Linked DNA regions of Oryzias latipes. The protein of the gene in region 1 purifies or fractionates together with the protein of each later gene. This does not show direct contact. Links are inferred from orthologs where the notes say so. Each region holds a gene or a part of one and is shown on either strand. Other genes may lie near its edges.

Region 1 (3,386 bases):
TTATGTGGTTTCCCGTCCAAACAGGAAGTAAAATATAATTTGTTTGTTTTTCTCTTTAGATTCTCGTTTATAGAAGCTGCATGGAATTCTACTGTTAGAAGATAAGTTAATAATGTATCTACTAACCAAGTATTTTACCTTTTATCAGTAATCACACCATCGTTTGTTGTCTCTCGTTAAGTCCACTGTCTTGGGGACAGTCGTCTTCCTTACTTCCTCATTCTGTGTATTTATGGCTGACGCTTTAAAGTCTCGCGACAAATGATATGTCGCATAGAAAGCTAAAGGCGGGGCTTACAATTTATTTCAATTCTGATTGGCTGAACGCTTACGCACAAAGGCGGATGACAAGCAGGTCTAAGATGAGCAAGTATGACTGTGCATTTTTAATGTAGTTATATTATTTATAGTTTCTGATTACAAATGTTGACATCCTGTTAAACTGTTGCTATTGGAAAATAAATATTCATAAAACAGAACACAGCTTTTAAACAATTTACCTTTAAAATCCACAAGTGATTTTACAATTTTTTCAAATGCGAGATTGTAATCGCATTTAAAAAACATCAGTAAAGTGAACGAAGTATTCATTAAGGATTCAATATTTATTGCGATTTACAGAGCTTCTTTTATTTTACACCCATAACAACAAACATTATGATCAAGTTTCCTTGCAACAAAATGTAGTCATTTGGAATGGAATTACAGTGAAACCAACCTTCTACACATTTTTCACAATAAGACTACAGCAGGTCCTCATACTTTTGTATCTGTATACTCAATATATACACATATGTATTTAACTTAAACAGCATCACACAAAAACCAAGCACGACATATTAGCCAAATAAGTCTTCTTTCATAAATTTATCATCACTTTTACTGCACAAATAATAAAAAAACACAGAAATCAGCAGGGCGATCAGGTGAAGCAAACATGAGGAGCTCAAGTTATGAAGGAATCATGTGAGCTGTGAAAGTAAAGGGAATAAACCCAACAAATATTCTGTTTTTTTTTTAATCTATCAATCACAGCCTCTTCTTTTTTTACATTACCTGTTTTGTTGTTTTCTTTGTTGGCAAAAGAAAGCCCGACACAAAACACAAACATTTACTCTGAAAACAGCGATGATGACTGTGAGAATTTAATCCATCCTGATCTTCTGATTGGTCATCCTATAGATGATGCTGTCATAACCTGGGTCCATGTTCCACAGGTTGTAAGCAATGACGATGACGGCGAGGACCAGCACGATCATCATCCACAGCACTATGTTAAAGATCACTGCGTACTCAAAGTTGTACTTGTAGGCCAGGTTGTACGGGCTGCCAGGGTTACTCTGGAGATGAACACAAACATTAAGTTAATCCAGGGGTGTGCAACCTGAGGCTCTGGAGCCACATGTGGCTCTGTTATGCCTCCATTGTAGCTCTCTGATTAAAGAAAAAGACGAGGATTAACATAGTTTTTGGACTATAAAACAAAACAGATAAGTTTAACTTTATTCAATCCATTTACAAACAGTGAAAGTACAGTACAACTCACTCATCTTTGCGGCTTCATAACTTATCAAAGTTGTACTAAAACACATTTTTGAGCACCGTGTGTCACAAAAGGCCTGTTTCAGGGTGCACTGTTGATATTTGAGAAAATGAAAAGATTTTAAGCGCCTTCTGGGTCACTAAATTAGCTCTGATTTAATTTGAGTTAGTCAGGTTTACAAATTTATAGCAAAAACAGTTCAAGTAATTGTGTAGGGTTTATTTTTTTTTAATCCCAATTGACATTAGACAACCTACTACATTTACTGCATTGAAAGGATCCCTTGTGATACAGGGTCTATTTTATTTTGAAAGGAAGTCTTGGGAAACTGCCAATAGTTATAAACGATTTCATATTAAGAATAAGAAATGTAATTTTCTCTTTACGTTTTTTTTTCATGGCAAGAATTCATTCATATTTATCATAAAAGTAACAATAACATAAATATAAGCTCCTACTGGGTTGGAGACAGTGTGAAATCAACCTGAAAGGGTCTTTAAGTGTTGAAGGTTGCAGGCCCCTGTGTTAATCCATTGTTAAATGAAATGCTGTTGAGTTCTCTGGACACCTTTCTTCCCGCAAGACTTACAATCTGCTTAGATTCCAGGATTGAACGAGACTTCCTGGTCAAAGGAGCTTCAAATGTTTTCACCGTGACAACCTCCACAGCAGCACTGTTGCCATAGAGACGATACATGTCCTCTCCAAACTAGAATGAAAAGAACGTAGGAGGTTAAAATGTGGTCCTGTTGAAGGCTTCTGCATTACCCTCCGGTCCTCCTCGGTACCTTCTGAAGGACAGAAGCAAGGATGGATGTGGCGTCCCGGTACTGAGGAGAGTCTTTGCCATAGACGCGGCTCAGCTCCTCCAGCCCAGACAGCTCCAGTGAGTACAGGTCAGGAGAGTTGTCCTTGGCCAAATGTCGGTGTCTCTGCAGCTGCAGCAAGATGAGATAAAATACATTTGACTCAAAGCTAATGAAATACTTTCTCCATGACTGAAGAAAAGACTGACCAGCCTCTTACCAGAGCTGTGATATCATGCAGCACTTGGACCTCAGACAGGAAGAGCAAATCTGCCTAAGAAAATAAAAGCATCATCAAAGAAGATAAGGTTTCTTTTCCACCCAGCAGGATTTTGGTTAGATGAGATTGTAAAAGTCCCACCCCGATCATCATTAGATCTACTGTGTACTACAGTGGTCTTTTTATTATGATTATTTAACTAAAATCCAAAACCTGTGTTGTTTTCTAGGACATCATTTCTGCAAAGCGGCAAAGGTTCATTAAAAATGTTGCCTCTGAGTTGTGGGCGGGACTGTTGGTGAAGAGTAAGCCCCCCTCCCCATCCCGATATCCATTTGTTTACACGCTCTCCTGCTAGCTTACGGCCCCTCACACCCCAAACCGAACATTACAAGTGCAACAAACATGGCAAACAAGATGGGAGCTATCCAGCTGCACAGTTTTGATCCAGAAACCAGCTCAGACTAGGAAAACACAGACAAACATGGATCTATTTGTCTGCTATTTGATGCATCAAAATGGAGCAGAGCAGGGAGGTTATGCCCCGCCAACTGTAGCTTCTGTGTCACATCCACAAGCTTCTTCAAACAGCATTTTTTCGTCTGCTACCGATTCACAACAATCTGAATAAAGAAACACTCAGAAAAGCAATTTTAAGCTTCATTTTCTTTATATATTTCCTCTATCATGAGAAAAACGCCACAAAAACATGTTAAAGATGCCAAAAACGTGATTTTCATCGGAGTGGGTCTTTAAGAAGACACGGTGATGTGACTTTTAGAAACAGACCTCTGCATTTCTGCTGAGGGAGTTGAGG
Region 2 (3,151 bases), on another chromosome or scaffold:
GCCAGCTCCGCCCCCGTCATACCAACGACACCGAGATGAAGGAGATGGTTTGGACCTCTGGTTCCGTCAGAGTCCAGCAGTGAACATGCATGGCCTGTCATGGGGGGGTCCTGGGGGTCAACAACAAACTGGAATGTCCAAAACACACTTTTGTTTTATTCAAGAAGGGCCACAGTGGCCCCCCTCCTCCTGAAGAGCCGGCGGCTCCATGGCGAGTAGCGCCTGCAGCTGTGGGGTCTACCACTGAGGGGACTGCTGAAGACTCCTACCCCCTCCTGAATGAGACCATGGGGAGGTTCCTCTAGCTGCTCCCCCTCAGACCAGTACCAGAGGTCCTGGATCCGGACACCAGTCTGCTGTGTAACAGCGTCTGACCGTTTCCCCTTTCACTGAAGAGCAGTAACAGCGTTCTGAGGGAATGTTCCATGAAGGATTCCAACGTTCCGTCTGACCAGGACTTTGGATGACATCAGCCTCACTTTGGCTAAAGTATGATGTCATTACTCTCTGATGGAGGACTGTGATGTCACGAATAGTGACGTCCTTTACCTCCCACTATCGTTTTCATGATGTCATCATCAATCAAACGCGTCTATGGTTCCGTGTTTTCCGATCCACGGCTGAACGCAGCAGTGGAACCAACCTTCCTCCCAGCACCATCAGGGTCCCGCAGGAACCATCAGACTTCCCGCTGCCGGGTTGGAGGCGAGTCAAGAGAACGGAGCGGCGTTCAACATTTTATTTCAAGGCGTCAAAATCACAGCGGAATAATTTAACAAACAGGAAGTGGGAGCGTGGAATAATTTAACAAACAGGAAGTGGGAGCGGGTCGGACCCCACTACAACCACATGAAGGCGTGGCGAGCGGTTCATCGGAAGTCCTCTGCAGAGAACATGCCCTTGGCGCGGCGCAGGATGGAGTCCTTGGACGCGTCGTAGGGGTGCTCCTTAGACGGGATCTCCAGCACCGCCGGGATGGACTGCACGTGCGCGTCGATGGCGTGCCGGATCATTTCTGCGATGAACTGGTTGATCAGGATGATGCCGATGTCGTTCCTCGCCAGAAAGCTCCTGCAGAGGAGGAAGCTCAGTTAGAACCACAGGAGACTGGAACCAGAACCAGTCCGGCACCAAACACTCGGACCTGCAGCCAGACCCGGGTTCTGGCTGAAGCCCCCGTGGTGATGACGTCATCGGACCAAAGGATCTACTGGGAACCCCGATGTCCTTAAGGTTCTGTAAGAGCCGTAAAGGAACGTCTGGGTTCTGGTCGTTCCTCCCTCCACCGGCAGGAACCGGGAAAGTTCCTCCGTGATTCGGTCCCACACAGAACTCGTTTCCCTTTGATGTTCCAGCGCTTAGAGGCCTCGCGCTCATAATGATCCCGGTCAAAAGAGCGGACACGACGGTGCGTGCATGCGTGCGTGTTCATATGGGGGTGGGGGGGTCTTACTTGAACGTTTCCTCGATCTCAGTGACGCTCGTGTCTTTCTCCACCACCAGGAAGTTCGGTTTCCGGTTCTTGTTCAGCTCCCCGATCCCGCCCAGCAGGAACCCGGTGCACGTGTCCTCATCACCGATCACGGCGATCAGCTTCCCGCGGCCCGCCATCACGCGCTGTTCGGTTCGGTTCTGTAGTCACGAAGCTCACGTCACGTGAGCAAGTCAGCTGACTTTGTCACTTCCGTTTCAGGCTGCTGAGTTTTCGTCATTTCCGGCCCCTCCCCCCTCGATGCTCGTTAAAAAACGTTTATTTTCCTGAAAATATTCCTTTGCAATCCGTTTTTAAATACCTGTGGAGGTGAACAGGGGCTCCATTCTATTTTCTGTGATCTTTTATTCTGCATTTAATGGATTCTATATATGCATGTCTATTGTACTGCAGAAATATGCAGATTCCTGCCTTCAGGAACAGATAATATGTACAGAGGTCACCATAGGGGTCACCATAGGCCTGTTTTTGACTGTTGGTCTGTTTTCTTTCTGTACTGGAGTATTTATGGAGCCACGACAGGCGCAATGCAGACTAGACACAAACACACCATTCTAGTGACGTATCTAGTATGTTTTCATCTTCCCTCACTGAAGAATAAAATAGAAAGAAGAAAACTCATTATCTGCCCCATTGCTGCATCGACAACAGTAAATCAAAGTCAATCAAACAAAGAGAAGGATTTTTACATAAATATCCTATTAGAGAATATTTTTTTATTTACAATATTTAATAAAGATATTCTATATTCTATTCATTTTTGTGTTTTTATGCATTTTTTTCAGAACTACAAACAGGCTGGGCTCTAAACTCATCTACTCAGGTAAACGAGATCAGCTGGGATGAAACGTTGAAAAGCACAAAGTGTCTGACGGGCGTGACGGGCGTCTAATCTGAGCTTTCTGGCAAAGCCAGGAGCCGGGGGTGTCTGTGTCCCTGTGGTGTGGGTTCCGGTCCTTGCCCCTGAGTGATGGGACTCGCCAAATTTCCAACTGTGGCCGAGCCTGGTCGGGCCATGTTTACAACACTTCTTGTGGACCCCCTCTTCTCTTGGGTGACCTCCCCCTGGGCGGGGACGGCTGGCCCCTGCCTTGCTCTTTTCTGGACCAGCCGTGGGCCTGGTGGGTGGATGTGATCGCCCGGGAGCAGTTGTTCTCTGCCTGCTGCCGTGTGGCGTTGGGGGGTTGTGGCTGCCGCTGCTGCTGCGGTGGGGGTGTGTGGATGGCTGGACACTCTCCTTCCTTCTTTTCACATTCCATCATCCATTCAAAAAGAACATAAACACTCACCTGAGCACAGGTGTTAGCTCACCTTTGCACTAAAATTATGCGTGATTGAATGAAATGTTTCACACTATTTGGTTTGAATGCATAAGTATGAGTATATGAACATTATTTGTATTGTGTACATGTTGACATGTGAACATTTTTTGGAGCCAACAGGTGTGTTATAACATGTGTGTGTGTGTATGTGTGTATGTGTGGACACGCCCCACCCTTAAAGACCTGTTTTACATCTGAACCTCACTGTAATGATTACAACCATCCAGAAACTTGTTGCTTTATGCTGCTTCATGGTTTTACCCCCCCCCCCCTTATAATCACCCTCCTACCCCCCCCCCCCCACTCTAACATCCCTCTCTCTTCCTCCCTTCTTTCC

Evidence for each region. The genes of interacting proteins can lie anywhere in the genome.
Region 2: the proteins of atp6ap2 (region 1) and atp6v1f purify together in Homo sapiens (affinity purification with mass spectrometry; 3 studies listed by BioGRID and IntAct, counting the BioPlex papers as one, with this or other methods). This does not show direct contact. The link is inferred for Oryzias latipes from reciprocal best matches to the Homo sapiens genes ATP6AP2 and ATP6V1F.

What each region holds. Positions count from the first base shown.
Region 1 is NC_019879.2:8,800,822-8,804,207, reverse strand, and holds the end of atp6ap2 (renin receptor), read right to left. Parts: coding exon 3,359-3,386; intron 2,624-3,358; coding exon 2,570-2,623; intron 2,482-2,569; coding exon 2,332-2,481; intron 2,253-2,331; coding exon 2,133-2,252; intron 1,341-2,132; coding exon 1,146-1,340; 3' UTR 587-1,145; downstream 1-586. UniProt on the Homo sapiens protein: Multifunctional protein which functions as a renin, prorenin cellular receptor and is involved in the assembly of the lysosomal proton-transporting V-type ATPase (V-ATPase) and the acidification of the endo-lysosomal system.
Region 2 is NC_019881.2:23,881,808-23,884,958, forward strand, and holds atp6v1f (V-type proton ATPase subunit F), read right to left. Parts: upstream 1,682-3,151; 5' UTR 1,612-1,681; coding exon 1,454-1,611; intron 1,072-1,453; coding exon 870-1,071; 3' UTR 725-869; downstream 1-724. UniProt on the Homo sapiens protein: Subunit of the V1 complex of vacuolar(H+)-ATPase (V-ATPase), a multisubunit enzyme composed of a peripheral complex (V1) that hydrolyzes ATP and a membrane integral complex (V0) that translocates protons.